Lonchura striata: one gene and its partner. The protein of the gene in region 1 interacts with the protein of each later gene in a biochemical or structural test. Links are inferred from orthologs where the notes say so. Each region holds a gene or a part of one and is shown in the gene's direction. Other genes may lie near its edges.

Region 1 (10,369 bases):
GGAAAGGCCTGACAAGAAATTAGCCAAACCTGTAATATAAGGGGAGCTGATAACAGACATGGTGAAGCTGAGCTGCACACCTGCATTAACCAAAAACTCAGGTTTCCCTTTGATTCTGTCAATAATTAAGGTCCTTTTTTAAATCCCTAAAACATTTTTTTCCCTTTTTCACCCTACAAAAATTCCTATTGAATCAAAAGGTCTGGGAGTTATCCCTTAGTGTGGTGTACCAAATTTAAGTACAGATCTGCAAGGAAAAACACTCTGAGAAAGGAAAGAAGATATTTTTTCTCTTTAAAACAATGAAAAATCTAGCTAAAGATTTATTGACTTCACTTTTGGTTTAAGCTCTCTAAATATCTTACTAATTAGTATGCAGCGTCACTCATAGAGAAATCAGAAAATGAGAAAATCAAAGGCAGCAGAAAACCAGGATTTGCATTTATCACACTACTTGTTGCACTTTTTCCAACTTTTTGTGTCCTGCACTTTACAAAGTGGACTCACTCATAAGATCTCATTCTTTGTGGAGAAACCTGAGCTAGTTGGTGCCACACTGCGCCCTCAAGTGCAAGAGTGCACTTCACCGGAACTGCATGCAAGCACCTAAATGTTATTTAGTTTATGGATAATGGATTAAATGTTTATGAACTTCCAAAATTTGCTTTTGAAACAGATGATTAAAATAGCTAACAGTTAATTTAATTATTTATGTTTTGTAAAGCAAAAAGGTATTTTTCTAAACTTGTCTAGGGAGTATATAATGTATTTCATTGGTTGATATAATAACTAACAACATTTTCTTCTGCAATTTGCATAATTTCTGTTACACTAGAGCAATATGAGCCCATTTCTTCAGCTAATTAAGTCACATATAAGTATTCTCATGTGTGTAAGTTGAAAACTGCTTTAAGTAGCAAAAATGTCAGCACATTTCAAAAATACTGCATTCATATCTTACTATAATTCCCTTGACCCTATGACCCTCGGTCAAGTCAATTTACAGCACTTTTATAAAACCTTACAAATTGTACTTGATACAAAACTGTCTGGAGAAGAGAGGAGAGGAGAGGAGAGGAGAGGAGAGGAGAGGAGAGGAGAGGAGAGGAGAGGAGAGGAGAGGAGAGGAGAGGAGAGGAGAGGAGAGGAGAGGAGAGGAGAGGAGAGGAGAGGAGAGGAGAGGAGAGGAGAGGAGAGGAGAGGAGAGGAGAGGAGAGGAGAGGAGAGGAGAGGAGAGGAGAGGAGAGGAGAGGAGAGGAGAGGAGAGGAGAGGAGAGGAGAGGAGAGGAGAGGAGAGGAGAGGAGAGGAGAGGAGAGGAGAGGAGAGGAGAGGAGAGGAGAGGAGAGGAGAGGAGAGGAGAGGAGAGGAGAGGAGAGGAGAGGAGAGGAGAGGAGAGGAGAGGAGAGGAGAGGAGAGGAGAGGAGAGGAGAGGAGAGGAGAGGAGAGGAGAGGAGAGGAGAGGAGAGGAGAGGAGAGGAGAGGAGAGGAGAGGAGAGGAGAGGAGAGGAGAGGAGAGGAGAGGAGAGGAGAGGAGAGGAGAGGAGAGGAGAGGAGAGGAGAGGAGAGGAGAGGAGAGGAGAGGAGAGGAGGTCTCTGTTGGCACAGCCGCTGTCACAGAGCAGCTTCAGGGGTCGCTCCGATGAGCATCTCAGTTTGGTTCTTTTCCTGGAGCTCTCCGGTATTTTCTCAGGATGTGGGGTTTGCAGGGCGTTAGAGGCTGCTCTTGAAAAAAGCGGTGCCATAGTGTCACCTGCTGGGAAGTTCTGCCCCTGCCTCTTTTTACAGAGACGAATGTTAAATAACTAAATGAAAATCAGTGTGTGTTTTTTACCTTCTTTCTCATACTCCACATTCTAGTTCACTACACTCCTATTGAAAGGTATTTTTTCTAAAAACAAGGCAATAGTTCAGAGTAGAACAATAAATATCCTGGACTTTTCTTCAGACTGTCATTCAATATGTATCTGGTGGGTGTTTGGTCTTAACTGATTTAAACTTTACTGAGTGAGCTACTGTTCTTTTGATTCTATGCCAACATCTCAATGCAAGTTTCTCTTCCATATTTTACTGTCTTTTCCTTTATTTACTACAATGACACACATTTCCAGCTATAAATATTTCCATGTCCTCTTAGGGACACTAATGATTTTAGAAAGAAGTTTCAAACAGCTGATTCTGTCATTACCAATGTGTTGATGCAAGGATGGCACTAGTTGGTGCAGTGGGGTCAGGGACCATAAAGTTGTGGCTTTGAAATTACAAAAATTATTTTATTCAATAGAAGTATGTTTGGAAGTTTGGTTTTCTTCAAACACCTCTTTGATTACAAGTGATAGGAAAATAACTAATTAGCTGCATCAGAGGTAGAACAACAGCTAAAACTTTTGTCTCTAATTACTTAATCACTGTTATAAGGGAAGAATTCATTCATGGACGTGGAAATGGTTGAGGGTTTGGGGTTTTTTTTAATTATCTTTCATTCTGCTAGCCAGACATTTGTATTAAATTTCCTGTACAATTTCCTGATTAAAATAGAAATTCTTCCAGGATTATATTTTCTACACTTTGAATTCATTATTTTTTAAGTATTTCAAAAGTGAGTTTTTATCCTGTCACATAAGAAGATAGAGAAGAGGGGGTCAGTAAAACCAAACAAGGCTATGCAAGATTGCATGAAAAAAAGAACAGAAATGTATTTATCTCAGCTTCATAATGGTATTTTTTTTTCTTTAGAAACACCTTATTTTTTAGGGTTAGGAAAAGAAAAAAGTAGTAAGTAGGTCACTTAGTCCCCTAGCTTTTCAATGAGTCCTAACTATTCTAAGTATTTTTGTGATTACACAGAACTGACATTTATGGCAGACCAAAACTAGCCACAAAAATGGGCTTTCAAAAGAAAATATTGTTCATCTTCACAAGAGTAGCAAGAGCTGGATCAGTGGTCTGCAAAAAGAAAAGAGTGGTGAAATACCATCATCTGCAGAAGACCAAAACAAGCCCGATCTCCAAGCTAAAAGTAATCAAAGTTATTCATGCATAGTGCCCCTCCCTGAAAAATCAGTGAACTGAAACCAAAGTTACATCACTTTTGGTTTTGAGTTTCTTCAATTTTTATTTAATGTGCTTAAAGCTGTATTCTGTATTAACTTCACTCTCCTTGGCTGCCACAAATGATTCCTTAGGAAATTGTACTTCGTAAACGAAACAAATCTCTTTAACTTAGGGCTCCCTTACAATGTCACAAGACTTCTTATTTGCTTTAAAATAAGAAGTGTGAGGACAGAGGGCATTTAAAGCAAACAGTGGCTGATTAAGTAATTTTGACCAAATAGTAGTAAGTGAAACAATTAAATCATGTGTAACAAAAGTTTGAGTACATTTATTATGCACAGTATAACTTTTCCTCATCAGACACTTGAAATAAAATTGTCAAATGTTTTTTTAATAGTAACATAAGAAAATATGATTGCAACTATGTGATAGCTTCACTTCATATTTTTACAAAATAGCTCATTGTAAGGCTGTAAAGAGGAGTCTGAGGCATCGTTATCTTAAGGGAGTAACATAATGAGGTAAAGAAGAGCCTTGATTAACTCTTATGTTCTCAGTCACAGAACTTTTATGCCCTATTCTTCAGATGCATTGGGGGAAAAAATATTTTAATGCTTAGAATTCTGCTTCTAGTCAAGACTACCTTCTCCACCCTGACTCTAATATTGGGTAGTTAATGGAAGGCAGAAAAATACTATAATGTCTCACTCCTGTCAAGAGGTTTATTCATATATTCAAGGGCAAGACAGAAACCTACAGAGCTGAGCTATTTCCTTATGAACAGCCCAATACTGCTGGAGACCACAAGATGGAGCAGAACTTAACTCTAGCAGGCTTTAGCAAAAGTGGCTTAAAGCCTATACTTAGCTCATCTGAATCATGGGTGAATAAGAGGCTGCTGATCGCTGAATTCTCAACAAAAATAAAAGAGCTTCCGTGTGCTTTGTGCAAGTTGTTAAATTTTCAGTATCTAAGAAGTCAAGACCCGATCATAAAGTAGCTTATATTAAGAAAAAATACATATATAGACCAGAGGATTTCTATTGCTGCAAGACTAAAGAAATTGACCTTCAAGTCTCCTATTCTAGCCTCCTTCTCCTATTTTTTTTCTTAAAAAAAAATCACCCAAAAGAAAAAAAAATCACCCAAAAGACTTCCCTCTATGTAGCATAAAAAGCTCATACACAGCATCTACTACCTCGTGACTAAACGAGTGACATATCTCAAGCACACGCAGCTGCTGCATGGAAAAAGTTAACAAGCCATACATCAGTAGGCTACGTCAATATTTGAGGCACACGGCAAGATCGAATTTTCATAGTGGAATTATTTCAGTTCCCCTTCATGATGTATTTTTCTACCAAACCCAGCCCATGCACATTAATGAAGCGGCTTTACTGTGTAGTTGTGTTTCCATGTCAGTGACGAGGACAATGCCTTTCCACAGCAGCACACACCTGTCATACCAATCCTCCCCTTTAAATCACAACGACGTGATTCACAAGGCAGAGCAACGGGGACCTCGTTAAGCTGTCTCTATCTAACTGTGTAAATCTGAGCCGTCAAAACACATTAATTTTTTTATTGAAAATTATGTCTGGGGACACAGACAGCAGTAAAAACCTGTACTTTTTGTTACTAAGTTGTTCAAAGGTAAACTCGTCGTCTTCCACGCCATTTAACTCTGAACACCAAGGGAAGTGTTGTCCTGGCCAGGCATGCCTTACAGCCCTGCGTCTGCGTGCAGGTGCTTCTCGCTGCCTGCGGGACCTGCCCTGGTCCCTGTCCCTGGTCCCTGGTTCCCGGTTCCCGTTCCCGTTCCCGTTCCGGTTCCCGTTCCCGTTCCCGGTTCCCGTTCCCGTTCCCGTTCCCGTTCCGGTTCCCGTTCCCGTTCCCGTTCCCGGTTCCCGTTCCCGTTCCCGTTCCCGTTCCCGTTCCCGTTCCCGTTCCCGGTTCCCGCCGCTCCCCTCACCCGCCCGGTTCCCGCCCCTCACCCGCGGCGGGGGCGGCTCCCGAGCCGCGGTCATGTGACCCTGCCAAGATGGCTGCCGGGGAGCGCCGCGCCGCGCCCGCCGCGGGAAAGGAGGAAGATTTTGAGATTATCGACAAAAAGCAGCTCCCTGACGCGGCCGAGCTGAGCAACGAGGAGAAGGCGAAACCGGAGGAAGCGCGGTGGTCTGCTCCTATCTTGTCTCTGGCCAGGAAAGCCTCGGAAAACTTGGCGCTGAGCTATGGCAGCGCCCTGAAGTCCGCATCCCTGGTGGGATTGGTGTCCAAGCCCGGCAGCAGTGACAGCCCGGCAAAGACAAGTACGGCTCCGCTTCTTTAGTAAACTCGCTTTTGTGGTGCGCAAATGAGTTCGCTCCCGTAAGTGCTGCTGGGTCGTGTCAGTGGTGCGTGGGTGTTACTTTGAATTTCTTTAAGATGCTGCAGTTTTGTATTGAAGTAAAATTAAACAAGTGACACAGATGTAGAATTTCAGAAATGCAGTATAACCAGAAGAAGCCTAAATTCTTTATATGTGGAGAAACTGACTTGTATTTGCTGCCTTTTCTCTTTCTCCTTAAAGCTCCAGCAGCCTGACTGCACTGAGGGATCTCTCAAAATTCCACATCCTCCCTCGAGTGCTGCTGGTTCCGGGAAGGAATCTCTGTACTTTTCATGTCAGAGACTAGACCAGCAAACTAAGATACAGATTTGTTACAAGTTACTTTTTAACTACACTAAAAATGCCCTCAGTTTAGCCAGAGACTGCTTTGTTCAACATTGGCATTTGTGGATCTAGCAGATTTGTGGAACAGGTCTCCTAGAACTGAATTAAAATGGCTTTAGTTGAATCATATGGAAAATAAATCTCAGCAATATTTATAAAGTGGGGGAAAAAAAACCCAAACCCATTAAAATGTATCATAAATTGGGCCTGGAGCCTTATATTCCAGAGTCTCAGACTGGTGCTTAATTGTTCTGGAGCACTGGAGCTCAGTTTTGCTCTGTTTGGTGCTGACCTTTTTGTTTTTAATGGTACTGAGTATTCAAAGGGAAATTCCACGCCACTGTGTTGTGACAGCAGGGGTAATGTTACTGCTGATGGACTTCTTCATTTTTTTTTTTGGTGAAAATTCCTCAATGTTGCATAGTCAGAGTTGAGGATTAATTGTCCTAAAAAAACAGACTCTTTTCCTGCATCTCAGAGTCTCACACCAAACTTCTCGCAGGTTTGTTTCCCGAGTGCCCATCTTGCACACCTGGGATCTAACCTGACCAAGTGCAGAAGATCCCAGTTTATTTGTTTGCTTTTGGAATAATGCTGTGGATAGATGGAATTGAAAACAACACACAGCATTATTTGGCAAGGGGCAGGGAATAAAATATTGTCTTACCTGAAATGAAGCTCCCACATTTTATGGAACTTTTACCATAATCTTTCCACTTCTTCCTTGTAAAGTAAGGGAACACACCACAACCTTCCCACGTTGTTCAGGGGATTTGGATTATATTTTGTTGATAAGTGTTATGGAAAATTCTGTATGAAAAATACAATTAATAAATTGTATAAGAATACAAGTTAATAACTTGTATATTAAATGTAAACAGGCGCTAAGGCACCTGTTCTACCTGTTCAATATTACCTTTGACTAAGCACTTAATTATAATTTAAAGCAGGTATGTTTAAGAAATAAGCCAAGGCCTGCAAGACCTGTTGTGGAGAACTTGGAGCTTGTTGCCTGCTGTAATCTTTTTCCAGGGATTTTATAACCTCTGTCTGCTACTTCAGATCCCTTGATCACATGTTCTAAACACATAAACCCCATCCTAAAACCAGTGTCTTCTACTGAGGAAATTGTGTCCTGCCTTGCAGAGAGGCCAGAAGCTTCAAATCTAAAGGAAATGAATCAAGAAAGACTTGCAGTCCCAAAGACCAAGGGATGGAGAACTGTGAGCTTCCTTTGTGCTTCAGTGTTTTCTGACTTGAGTGTGCTGAATAATTATAGTAAACAAGGCATGTGGCTTCAAAAAGATGTTGAAACAAATCTCTTGAGTTGAATAAGATACAAAACTGTGTGACTGCATTCTTAAAGATTGCAGCATCACATCTCTGATCTTTTGCACTGGGGTAACCTGATTCCTAATCTTTAAAGCTTGGCTTTGCTAGTGTGTCTAATACCTGTTTATTTTGCATGTATCGATCTGCACGGTTTTGCGAAAGATGTACTTGACTGTGTAAATTTGCAACCATCTAAAAAATATTGTTCAAGTAATTTAACTTAATGCAAACTGATATTAAGACACTTCTTAGTTTAAAAGTGTTTTCATAAGCAGCATTTCATTCATGGTATTTTATTTTTTTAAGTCTTCTGGGTAATAAATGTAAGGTAATTAAGGTGTAGCAAGGTGTAGAGGCAAAGTATTCTTGGTAAGTAAAAATTCAAATTCGAAAAGACATCAAAATGGTTAGCACTGCTTTGAAACACCCCAAAAATATCACTGTGTTTTTGTTTGTGCAGCTTTTCATCTGTTCCTAATGTGTAACCTGACAATATTGAGATAAAAATTCTAAATATTGTGATGCTTTTAATCCTTAGCCTCATTATATACAGTTTTGAAGCATCCATTGGCTATAGGCAATATACAGTATACTCCTTCTAGATATGTGTATATCTAGAATATAATGTATATTGATTATATACTGTATATACAATTGTATAAACTGTATATAGTATATATTCAATGAACTATAGAGTAGCATGCAGAGATGACAACATTTTGTGTGTATTGTGGTTATTAAGGTCAGTTAGATTAGAATTACTCTGTTTTCCCTCTTCTGATACAAGGAGTATTTTGCTCATTTTTAACCCTAAATTAACATTGTGTGTACAAAAAGGAAAACACTGAAGAGGCTTTTGCACAATCTTAAAAACATTGTTAACCATCTTGAGTGTGACTGGCACAGGGCTGGGGCTTCTGCCACTGCTTTTTCTGCAGAGTGTGTGACCACAGGTGACAGCAAGACTGTCCTGCTGAAACAGCAGTGGCTTAAAACCTGATTTTGGTGGCCACTGGGCTGTGGTTGGAAGCTCCTGTCAGAGCCTGTAGGAGCCTTAAAAAGCAAGGGAGCTGGCCCTAGTCCCACTCCCCCTGTTGTCCCACAACAGGTTATTTCACTTGGCCTGCAAGGAGCCAATCCATGCAGAGTGAAGGGATTTGATTTATTTACAGTTTTGCACAGAAGGGGGCTGGGTGACAAATCCACAAAGCCAGCACAAGTACCAAAACGTTTCACTATTTTAGGTATTAGGCATTAATGTTCATTGGTTACAAATTCCCTAGTTCTCTTATTAATTATTATTCTGTCTTCTATTAGTCAATGATATCCATGCTCAGTCTGTCTTTTCTTTTGGGTCAGTGAGTTTCTTGGGTCAGTGGTCACAATCTGCCCCTGCCAGAATTACCTTCTACCAGTCAGAGCTGATTGAGCACAGTTGCTGCATTTTAGGAGTTTCTTCCTTATATTGGGGGTTCTGCCAAATGTCATAAAATCATAGAATATGCTGGATTGGCAAGGACCCCCTAGGATCATTGAGTCCAGCTGCTATCCCTGTACAGGACCATCCACAAGAGTCACACCATGTGTCTGAAAGTGTTGTACAAATGTACAAATGCTTGAGCTCTGTCAGGCTTGGTGCTGTTACCACTGCCATGAGGAGCCCATTCCAGCGCCCAAACATCCTCTGGGTGAGGAACCTTTTCCTGATCTCAACCTAAACCTCTCCCAACTCAGCTTCAGGCCGTCCTTGCAGCACATAAATTCTGCATCCTTTGCATCCACTATCGCTGCTACATCCTTTTATTAACCTCCCCTAGGCCTGAGGTCCCTGAAGGGCTGGACACAGTCCAGCCCTAAACCTTAACAAGGCAATTTGAGATTCGCCTTTGTAACACCTGGGCGCCACTTACACTTTGCTCGTTAGCTGATGTTTCAGGGTTAAATCGCCCTGATTGTTGCTTAGGCTTGAAACTGTACAGAGATCGAGAAACATCCTTTCTGAAGTACATCTGTACCTAATTCCACATTTTGCAACGCGCCGCTGCCGGGGCTCTAAGATGGCGGCGGGCCCGCCGCCGCGCCGTGGCCGTGGCAACGCGGCGGGCCGGGGTCCGGCGGCGGGCCGGGGTCCCTCAGCATCCCGGGGTCCCTCGGCATCCCGGGGTCCCTCGGCATCCCGGGGTCCCTCAGCATCCCGGGGTCCCTCAGCATCCCGGGGTCCCTCGGCATCCCGGGGTCCCTCAGCATCCCGGGGTCCCTCAGCATCCCGGGGTCCCGCGGCGGGCCGGGGTCCCTCGGCATCCCCGGGTCCCGCGGCATCCCGGGGTCCCTCGGCATCCCGGGGTCCCGCGGCGGGCCGGGGTCCCTCGGCATCCCGGGGTCCCTCAGCATCCCGGGGTCCCTCGGCATCCCGGGGTCCCGCGGCATCCCGGGGTCCCTCAGCATCCCGGGGTCCCGCGGCATCCCGGGGTCCCTCAGCATCCCGGGGTCCCGCGGCATCCCGGGGTCCCTCAGCATCCCGGGGTCCCGCGGCATCCCGGGGTCCCTCAGCATCCCGGGGTCCCGCGGCATCCCGGGGTCCCTCAGCATCCCGGGGTCCCTCGGCATCCCGGGGTCCCTCGGCATCCCGGGGTCCCGCGGCATCCCGGGGTCCCTCGGCATCCCGGGGTCCCTCGGCATCCCGGGGTCCCGCGGCATCCCGGGGTCCCTCGGCATCCCGGGGTCCCTCGGCATCCCGGGGTCCCGCGGCGGGCCGGGGTCCCTCAGCATCCCGGAGTCCCGCGGCGCCGGCCCGGCCCCGCCGCTCAGGTACGGACCCCGCGGGCCGGGCCGGGGCCGCGTCCCCCCGGGGCGCTGAGGGGGCTTTGCCCCGCAGCGGGGGCACCGCGGCGAGGGGTCGGTAAAAGCTGCGCGGCGTCTCCGTGCGGATTCTCCTCGGGTACTCGGCGCTGGGGAAGCCACGCCTCGAGTGCTGTGCTCAGCTCAGAAAGGGCATTGAGGGGCTGCAGCGGGCTCAGAGGAGGGCAGCTGAGCTGGGGAAGGTTCTGGAGCACAGGTCCTGTGAGGAGTGGCTGAGGGAGTGCGGGGTGTTTAGTCTGGACAAAAGGAGGCTCAGGGGTGTACTTTGTACATAAGGTGTACTTATCACTGTGATAAGGGTGGCCTTGTCACTGTCTACAAGTCCCTGACAGGAGGCTGTAACCAGGTGGAGGTCAGGCTCTTCTCCCAGGCAACCAGTGATACGACGAGGAGATATATAATCTTACACTGCA
Region 2 (10,612 bases), on another chromosome or scaffold:
ACTGTTCCCATCACCACTCGCACTGCTTTCACTGGCGTTCAGAGGCGCAGCGGTTGCGGGGGACTCCTCCGCCCCTCGGCCCGGCGGGACGAGAACTGCTCCGGGGCGGCAGCGCTCCCGCGGAGCCCGGCACAGCCCGGCACAGCCTCGCAGACGCCGCAGGAAACGCCCCGGGACAGGACCGGGAGCGGGACCCGGGAGCGCGGCCCCCTCCCTCCGTCCCTCCGAGTCCCCGTGCCCTCCGCCCGGCCGTGCGGCGAGGAGCCGGGGGAGCCCCGGCGGCCGCGCCCGGCCCTACCTGGTGCTGGCACTCGCGGGCAGAGGCAGCTGCGGGGCCGGGCAGGGCAGGGCCGGGCAGGGCAGAGCCGGGCAGGGCAGGGCCGGGCAGCCCCGGGGGCGGGACCCGGAGCTCCCCCGCCTCCGCCCCGCCGCCCGCCTCCCTGGGCGCGGCTGCGGCGCCGCGGGGAGCCGGGCACGGAGGCTCGGGCACCGGGACCCCGGCACCGGGACTCGGGCACCGGGACCCCGGCACCGGGACTCGGGCACCGGGACCCCGGCACGGGGACCCCGGCACCGGGACCCCGGCACCGGGACCCCGGCACGGGGGCTCGGGCACCGGGACACGGGCACCGGGACCCCGGCACGGCTCAGCTGGGCACGGCTACCGGCACAGGTACCCGGGCACAGCTGACCTGGCACAGGTACCCCGCAGCGAGGAGACACGGTGCTGGTACCGCCCGTGCCCCTGGCCCCAGTGGGGCTGGACTCGCCCAGCCCCTCGGCCACCACGGCCAGGTCTGTCCTGCCCTTCGGCTGCCACATGTCCCCATCCCGTCAATGCCAGACAATGTTTTAATGCCTCGTTACGTGAATTTCATTGTTTTGTAATCTTCATGCAGTTATTGGTATGCCCGCACCAAAGCACACGCACAGGGGGCCTGTAGCACAGTCTCTGTGGATGACAGCCATTACTCAAACATCACTCTAGGATGCAGTGTGGGATGTGCCAGTAACCCATCCCCGTGGCTGGGAGCTGTCAGTGTGTCCGTGCACACCCTGATCCCGGGCAGCACTGCTGGGACCAGCGCTGCCGTGCCCTGCAGGCCAGTGACCTCTTCCTTCCTGTCCCCTATTTATAGTCACCCTGTCCTGCACGCCAGTTGTGGTGTGGGTGCACAGATAAGCGTGTACAGATCTCTTCTGGGCCCTGAGCCATGCAAAGCCTGGTTCTGATGCTCAGTGTCCCTCAGAACATCTCCCTCACCACAGTGAGTGCCCCTGGGCACTGTGTGAGTAGAGATCTGGGGAACAAATTGGGCTGACACAGGTAACAATTCATAATTGTTGGTTAGGTAACCCATTTAAGCTCCTAAGAAGTTTGGTGTAACAATAAATTACTTGAACATTGTTAAGTACACACATAAAGGCATGGACCTTATGGCTCATGTGCTTGGGAATATCACACAGAGCACAGTCATCCCTCCCGTGGTTGTTGTGTTTGAAGTTTGAGAAAGGAACATGATCCTTCAGAGCAATTTAGCAGGAAGCATTTTCTGTGAAACATTGTATGTAAAAACACATCTGAGAGCGAGTCAGACATCTCCAACCGCACTCAGAAACAATAGAAATTTCTAACTCCTTGCCTTTTTTATGGAGTTTTTCCTCAACACTACCAGTGAGTAGTGGTAAATCTAAGCCAGGCAGGCAGGCCACAGCCAGCTGTTGTTTTCTTTCACTCTCTCCATCATGTAATCGGAGAACTGTCTTGTGCTCTTGAGAGGAGCACTGTACCGAGACAGTGCCACCCTGCAGTGGGTTCTCACAAAAATGGTTTCTATGCCACCAACAATGCCCCCAGTTGCTGCTGGAATTGTGTGGAACAAAGACATGGTTATTCACAAAGCCAGTGGTGGGTATTTCTCCTCTGTCATGCCTATAACTGAAGAAGTTTTTTGTTACGCTTTTGTGTATGAGAACATTATTAACCAGAACATTTTAGGTGGGCTAAGAACCATCTGCCAATTTGATTCTGAAGTCTGGGAGAGCTGTGCATAACCAAACCTTTCATTAAATCGGGAACATCCTTTACAGAGGCACTGACACTGCACAATCACACAGTAACTCATCTACTTGATGTTCTGCATCATGTTCACATCCTATCATGCATTTGTAACATCATTACATAGCTAAACCAAAAATTCTTCACCTGTCCCTCAAATATGATTAATGCAAAATGACTTAGCCCTTTGAAAACACTGTGTTCAATTACTTTAAGTGCTGTTAAATTGCAATGTTTCCATGGAAATTTTAGGTCCCTGTTTCCACTATTCAGCTGGAAATGCAGCTACCCTTGTGCTGTTGAGGATAGAAAAGTGACCTTGGCATGCTGAAGCATTAGAGGGAGTTTCTTTCCAAGAAGTAACCTCTCAGTGCAGAGAGTGAGATCTGGAACCACACAGAGCAGAACCAAGAGTCTCTTGGTGTCAGAAATCACTGTGATTGATGAGAAGGACAGAAAAGTTTTTAGGGAGCCTTGTGCTGTGGCACTGCAAAGTCCTTCAGCAAGGAGACACCTTGAGGTGGGGCACAAACCCCTCCAGGTTGTTGCTGTCAGCTCCAGAGGTTGCTTTCTGTCCAGAAGCAGCTCTGTGTGGATCAATTCCTGCCTTGTGCAAGATGATTGACTCACAAAGCCTTTCACCACTGCCAGGATCTGGTCTCTGGGCATGTTGTCCTGTCAGCCAGGAAACCACAGCACTTGCATGCCTTTGAAAAGCAGATGCTGGTATTTTGCAGGCATTTCTATTGCTACAGTTTGGTTTTGTGCTAAAATATAAGCTACTTGCTAAGGACCCATCGAAGTATGAATGCTTGAGGATTACGCTCAAGGGATCAGAGTTGAAAGGTGAACTCCAAAATAAGCCAAATGAAGTCAGTAAAGCTCAGATTTAGCTTCAGTCAGGATAGAAGGAGTCATGGTGAGCACTGACCCATCAAGGGAGCTCGCTGCTGTATGTATTTGGAAGTATTCCTCAATATTAATGTTGAAGTTCCTGTGGAAAGGGGTACACTTCAATTCCATACTGCCATTCCCACAAAATATTGACAGAGAGAATCCAGCTGAGCTGCATCTACTGACACCAGAATTACCATTGGCCCAAATGTTCTTCTATTATTAATCAATTTAATTTGAAGCTTTGAGGCTGTACAAGTGCCAATGGGCTTGGACTGCCTGTTTTACATGAGATGAAGGAACTAAAAAAGATAAAGAAGGAACTAAAAAAAAAACCTTGACCACAGGAATATTTCTACAGACACCACAAAACTGAAATGGTAAGAGATGAAAGGAGAACTGGGCAACTCAAAAATAAAATACAAGTAAAGACCAGTTAGTCATCTGTGACCAATCCAGCGTTACGTGATCGACTCCCACAGACGTGCATTTCAAACTAGTTCCTGAAAAATCTTGTGTTTCTCCCCTCTCTCTGTCTAGAGAAACTTGAGCAAAGCCAGAAGATGAAGCTGGGGTTCGGGGGAAGATGACAGACAGAGAAACCTGACTTTTTATTGCCTGTTTGTGGCCTGACAGTTTAAATTCTGACAGTCTGGCCTGCTTACTGCTGTCCTTAGGGAAAAGAGTGTTGCAGACAAAAATTCCATTCAATCCCACACTCTTAATGAAAGCTGATGTGTAATTTAATTATATTTAGGTTTATTTTCTTACAAGGATGCATTCTAAAGAAGGAAGCTGATCCTACAGATCACTCTGTGTAGTTTATTTGCAAAGAAGAAAATCCTCAAGCCTTCTACCAACTGCATTAACTCAGTCTTTACTTTTCCTGGAGTTTGTGGTACAGAAATAAACCCAAGAGCAAGGCTCATGTGACCAGAAAATTTGGATGCTGCTCCCTCTTGACAGAAAGAGACACGTGGAAAAGGCTTTTCAAGAGTGGACTGACCCAGCAGAAATCCACAGGGAAGGGTGGGACCACAGAGGAGGATTCCATCCCTGGCAATTTGGTATTGTTACCAATTTAGTGGGTTTTAATTACTGTTGTTAGGTTCTGTCCAGATGTTCACAATGAATGGGCTGAAGTCAGCCTTTTCTCAATAACTGTTGTTGAAAAACTGCTGCAGGCTTTCAAGCACTCACAAGAATAAAGAACCAAAGAAATGCAGATGCTGTTACTCCATCCTCCTCGCTCATGTCTTCTGTTAACTTTAAACTTTGTAGGAATATTTGAGCAGAGCATATAAAAGCAGGAGCTTTGAAGCAAATCTGTATTGCCTTTTACATCACCTCAGAAAGGAAGGCAGTTTTAGATAAAATATATTTGGGAATTTCCGTTTAAAAGCTAAATCTTGCTCACATTTAGATAATGGCTTTTCATTTTGTTGCAGGTAAGAAACAAAATAATTCTATCCCCAAACCGCTTCTCATTTCTGTTCACAATTAAATAAACCAGGCTCCAGATTAAAGGGATTTTCCGAGTTGTTGAGTAATCCTGAGGTGTCTCCGTGGGCTCTGCAGGGGGAAGTGCCACCCTGTGACTGGAGAGGCGCAAACCCGAGGAGCCTGTGCCTGCCTGGGGGAGAGGGCTGGCTGCAATTCCCCCTGGAAAAGAAGCTGCAGCTCCAACCAGCCACTCCCACCCCGGGCAGGCTGTGCCCCCACTGCCCTTCCCATGGATGACAGCAATAATTACCTGTATGATTCCCTCTTGTAAAAACACGCAAACTCACCCTGCCTGCCTGACGCTACCAACACTGAGCCATAGATAGAGAAATCCTCAATGTATTTTGGTGTGTGATATCTGAACGATTCTGAATTAGAAAACCTCTCATTGCAGTGCCTGTGTTAACAGAATAATATCTGGGACAGTACCAGGGAAGTGTGCTTTTCTCAAGTCAGTAAACCAGACTGCAATTGTGTCACAACAGTCAGGTCATTTTCCGTTTAAAGACTCCCTCTCGTGGAAATCATTCTCACTGGCTCGTTTTGACCTATTTTTCTAGCAAAAGTCACTCCATATAAGGTTCTGCAAAACTTGAAAAGGGTTCTGTTGCACAGTTTTGAAGTTAGAACCCTGACAATAAGTGACAGGAGTCCTACATCTTTACTACATTGCCAGCAGATTTTGTATTTTTCTGTTGAATCTTTGCTTTTTATCACTCAGAGATTTGTTTAGCATGTAGATAAAGGGGAAAAGAATTCTAATTGTTTTTCTTCAGTGCTTTTTACTCTATGAAGTTTCTGCCCAGATAACAGGGAGTGTTATCTACCATGCAGTTTCTCCCTGGCAGAGGTTGAGTAATAATTAGGGGGTGGCTGATTCATGGAAAGCAGAGGATTCCCTGGCTGTTGCTCAACTAAGGAAATGGAATTAGTAATGTCACAGTAATGGAGATGGAAAATGCCCATGTGAAAATAGTTCCATAGAAATGTTATGGCAGTGGGGAAGCTGAAATTTAAATCTTGGACAGTGACCCACAGCAGAATCTGATATTTGCTGTAATGTTTGGAATTGAAACAAAATCCTTATTGGGGAAATTTATTGATATACTTTTACACCTCCCGAACCGCTGATTTATTTTTTAAATCCCGTGAACTGTGAGATTTGGGCAGTACGTTGCGCTTTTAGGTCTTGAGGTTCGCATGCCACGAGTGTTTAAAAAGCTGATTTAAATTATTCAAAGGCCAAATGAACACCTTCGAGCATTTCACGGGACGTTGCCAAGCACCGGGCGCTGCTCCTGGAGACAGACGGGGACCTCCGGAGCCCCTCAGGGCGCGACATCCCCGTACCTGCGCCGCGCCGGGCCGTGCATTCTCACCATTGCCCCGCGAGCTGGGGGTTCCGGGCGGGTCGCTGTTGGCTTCCGTGCCGTTTTCCCGGAGAACAGCGCGGAAATCCGGGATTTTCCGCGGCGCCGGCGGCCCCGCTCCGCCCTGAGGCGCCGCCGCCGCCGCCTGAGGGCGCGCGCGCCCGCCCCGCCCCGCGCGGCCCCGCCCCGCGCGCGCTCCCGCCCCGCCGCGCAGCGGCCGCCGTGATTGGCTGCGCCGCGGCGCCCTCGCGCCCACTCTTTGTGCGGCCCCGGCGCCCGTCGAGAGTGGGAGGGGAAACCCCGTGCGAGGGGCGCCGCCATCTTGGCTGCGGGGGTGATGGGGGCGCAGCGGAGCCGCGTCTGAGGCAGCGCAGCGAGCCCGGAGCGAGCCGAGCCACACAGCCCGCGGGGGCACCGGGCACCGCCCGCACGGCCGCGCTGCACCGCTCCCTGAGCCCCGAGCACAGGTACGGCGCGCCGGCACGGCCCGCCCGGCCGGGCCGCTGCAGCGCCAGGCCCCGCGCCGCGGCTCCGCGGGCCGGGGCGGGTCCCGGTCGGCCGCGCTCCGTCCCGGGGCCGCCCCGAGGCGCGGCCCGGCGGGCCCGGGGCCGGCAGCGAGGGGAAGGGGCGGCCGGGCTGAGCGGGGGGAGGCTGCGGGCAGGACTAGGCCGCTTGGCTCTGTGGCACCGCCGCCTCCCAGCGCTCCTCGGCACCGCCGCCAGCAACACCGGCGATATTTTTATATGTGTGTTCTGTATCTCCCCCTTACGAGCTGTTGCAGTTGCACGGAGGGTGTGTATGTGTGTATTGTGCCGTGTATGTGGCCGATGTGCAGCGTTATCTCTGCTTTTAATTGTTCTATTGACCTGTGCCGTCATGAACTTTGACAGAAAAATAACTTTGAGGGTTGAGGGAAAAGCCACTTCCTATTTGAGAAAGCAGCGAAAGTATTCTAGACTGTTTTTTTTTTTTTTTTTTGTCAAAGCTTATTGAGGCTAAAGAGAGCGAAATTATTTCCTTTCCAATTGTTTATTGCCTGTTTGCAGCACACGAAGTATCCACAACATCTGTTGGTAGCTTTGTCTTGAATTGGAGTTGTGCTGAATTATCGTGGCAGTAAAGCCAGAGAAAGGTGGGTGTCTGCACTGGAGTGCCTCTGGAGGTTACTCGCTGTGGCTTTTGCTTTAAAACAGGGTGGATCTGTGTTGGGATGTTTTTCAGAGGTGACAGAGCCCCTTAGTGAACAGGATTCCTCAGGGTGGCTGTGTCCTAAATCCCAAGTCACATCTTTTACAGGTGTTATCCTGTGGAGTGTATTGCCTGGGATTGATTCCTGTCCTGGTTTGGACTGCAGAGCCCTTGTGCTTGGGCAGTACTTGCTGATGGGAAGAAAATACCTTGGGCAGCTTAATTACTAAATGTCACAATTTAATGTGGTTTATAAAGGAATTTGCTAGCTTCCTGTAGGGATTTAAAAATGTCGTAAGTCTGAGTGCAAGGAAGAAGTTCTCTTTTCCATTTTATGAGTAACAAAAAAATGAGGAGTTCTTATGAAGGACAGCAGTTTGGAAACAAACCTGTTCTACTGGAGTTACTGGGATGTAAAATGTAAATAATACTTTAAAATTACCTGCTCACTTCTGGGCATCTAATGAAACCTGATTAAGATTGATTCTCATTTTGCTGAATCTTCCTGAAACAGGAGGTAGCTCTTAGTTAATATTTACCTAAAACGTCTGTGACTTGTGTTTTCCTAGGTGGTGACTCCAGAGTGTTCTGATTTATTGGAATGACAGAAAACTCTTCTGGTTTTCTATATTCTGTCCCAAATTTACCTCTGGACCTTGGTTCTCCTGCTGGGAACAGACATGCAACAGGTTGGAGTGTTCTGTAGGAAGAGAAGAGTAGGATAAGTGAGGAAATACAAGTGGATAAGGGGTGGCTGTGGGGAGGGACATGGCAGAAGGTGCTCGAGCTGATGAGGACGGGTAGGCAGTGATTAGTTCAGCTCTGCTGCTGGGGTGTGGTTAGGGAGAATTGAAGTGTGCATGTATAAATGCAGGAAGCAAAATGGAGTAACTTAATGAAGCAGGATGTGAAACCAGCAGAATGATAACCAGGACAACGTGGATGTGACTGGAGAGCTGGTGAGGAAAGTCAGAAAGTGAAGGTAGTGTGTTAGGTAGCTTTGATTTAAAAAGAAAAATGAAGCTCTCCTGGAGGAAGGAGAAGTGAAGGCCTGTGAAGCCTTTAGAAGAACCTCCTAGGCCTCAGGCTGGGCTAAGGTGTTTGATGTGATTAGGGAACACAGCAAATGCATTTCTTCAAGAACAGCCTGGAAAGGGCTCTGCAGGGCTGCAGTCTGAGCCCCAGAGCCTGCAGGCCTCGTGTGCTCTCAGGGAAAGAGTAACTGGAGGTGGGAGTAGTAAGGAAATGCAAAGTGATCCTGGACAGCAGCTCCCAGAGGCTGCTGGGTGAGCAGAGATCAGCTGAGCCAAATTTCCTGTCTTGTGCTGATTGGCTGCTTTGGTGAAATCCAAGAGGGGGAAGCAAGGGAGGATGACTCTGGAAGAGCTGAGGGATGAGTAAGGAACTGGCCAGCAACAAGTGATGTTGTCAGACAGGTGTGAAGGCTGCAGCAGGCTCTGAAACTCCTCAGGAATCAGGCTCAGCAGGGCTTTGTAAAGCCAAGCCTGCAAAAATGAATAAATAAGCAGAGCACAGTGGCTGCAGAGCATCATCTTAAAGAGGGCTGAGATGTTGATGTGGTTGAGGAAGACCTGAATGTCCTTGGTGTGTGAAAGCCAGAGAACCACAGTGGAATTTAATTGTAGCAGACCTCATGGAGTGCTGTGGACAACAGACCTATGGGAATTCAGTGCTTTGGTGAATTAATTGATAGCAGAGCTGTTGTTACCTTCAGTGTGCTGTTATCTGACAGGTGACCATAACTGAAGCACTCACAGACTGTTTCTAGTAGCCTGCTGAGGTCAGGTACCAGTTGAACCACATTGTTCTGTGTGCTTGACAAAAGTCTTATCAGGGGAAAAGTGCAATTACAAAATGAAACAATTCTACCTCTTTCCAGCTCCTCCCCCTTACCAATCTTATTGTTGTCTGTTAATTAACATCTAAATAATCTACAGATTCAACTGTGAGAGCTTTTAGTACTGCACATCCTTGGGGAATGATGCACAGAACACCTGGCTGCCCAGAGAGACTACAAAATGCTTTTTGCTTCAGAGTAGCTCCCAGTGGTTCCCTGGCTGCAGAGTTCTGTCCTTTGCAGGGAACCAGGAACAGCTGGGCAGTGCTGAGTTTGGAGGTGGTAGTTTTTTCCCCAGCTCTCATCCCTGCACATGGACCATCCATCAGCTGGTGGAATGAACCACAGCAGTATCTGAAAAGCCCTCTGCATGCAGGTTCTGGTCTCCCTTATAACACACCTGCTTCTTGTTGAGTATAAAGATAATAAACTTCTTAGTGCAAGTGATATCCAGTGAAGAGTTAAAACTATGTCTTTGAACTGGAAGGAAATGCACAGATCTCACAAAGGCTGGTATGCATCTGATATTTACAGGTTATGTTACTGTGATAAAGAATGTTACAGCAGTGTGCCCAGAACAATCTTATCTCGGGAAGTACAGATGTAGCTGATACTTGAAATAAGGTTTCAGTGAGATTTCTAAATATCTGTGTGGTGCTTGTTGATTAGAGAAGGAGATGTACATGTACTGGTGTCTCATTAAGGTCATCTTTAACTTTATTTTCCAAAAAAAGCCTCCAAGAAGAAGTTGATATATGGGAAATGGATTTGGTGACACTGCTCACTGTAAAATGTCCAGTCTTAATGTAATGCAGAAATGAATTGTATAGGCTTTGAAATGAGCATCAGTCTGTACTCAGTGAGCTCCTCTGGCCAGTGGCCATCCTGCACTAATGCTCTGGGCTCCAGGGCAGCCGTACCTGGGAGGAGGCAGCCGGGGCTGGGCTGGCAGCCTCTCCTGGAAGAAGGATGGCAGGTAGGCCAAGCTCCCAGACTAAACTTCTGCTTTCTGTTAGCAGGAAACTCATGGCTGGTTAACTCGGGTGGCACAGTGCCAGCAGTGGCGAGGCTGAGCTCTGGATATTTATGTGCAACTTTCTCAGCCCTGCAGTTCTTGCCCTCCCAGGGGGAAAGCCCATTCCCCCCGGTTGGAATTACTGAGATTCACGTGTGTGGGACAGGGGGTGGAGGCAGAACTTGAGTTCCTGCAGAGGGGCGATGCCTATCAAGGCATCAAGCCCTTGCATTGACATGTAGCTGATAGTTTAGAATTTACTGACCCCTCTTGTGCCCTGTTCTTGTCTGCACTTCCTTCTTTCGTCTGCAGTAAATGCTGAGGTGGTCAGTTTTCCAAGGCTAAATTCTCAGCGGGGTTTCTGTGTTTAGTTAGTTGCATTTTTTTTTTCTCCTTCAGCACAGAGTCCTTGTGGAATATCACTTCTATTCCAAGATCTGAGTACAGTTTGAATTCCTGCTAATCCTTATTGGAATTTGAGTGTTTAAAATTTTGTTATTTGGTTGTTTTAGTGTTGCTTGGGTTTTTATTTGACTTTTTATTTAAAGGAATCATCTGTTCTCCAGAAAACATTCCTGACCTTTACTAATGGTTTGGAGTATTTCAGAATCTTTTCTGTAATGTGACCCTTGCAATAAATGTAATACCAGTAGTTTTTTGCATTGAAATAGCATAGTTTCTTACTTTCTTACTTAGAGGGAATAATGAAAATGGGCATATCTCAG

Evidence for each region.
Region 2: the proteins of RUFY1 (region 1) and RAB14 form a complex in vitro, tested with the Homo sapiens proteins (2 studies listed by BioGRID). The link is inferred for Lonchura striata from reciprocal best matches to the Homo sapiens genes RUFY1 and RAB14.

The regions. Positions count from the first base shown.
Region 1 is NC_134617.1:6,872,116-6,882,484, reverse strand, and holds the start of RUFY1 (RUN and FYVE domain-containing protein 1), read left to right. Parts: upstream 1-4,964; 5' UTR 4,965-5,093; coding exon 5,094-5,361; exon of another isoform or gene 5,362-6,978; coding exon of another isoform or gene 6,979-6,988; intron 6,989-10,369. UniProt on the Homo sapiens protein: Activating adapter involved in cargo sorting from early/recycling endosomes. Regulates retrieval of proteins from endosomes to the trans-Golgi network through interaction with the dynein-dynactin complex.
Region 2 is NC_134624.1:9,481,979-9,492,590, reverse strand, and holds the start of RAB14 (ras-related protein Rab-14), read left to right. Parts: upstream 1-6,104; 5' UTR 6,105-6,293; intron 6,294-10,612.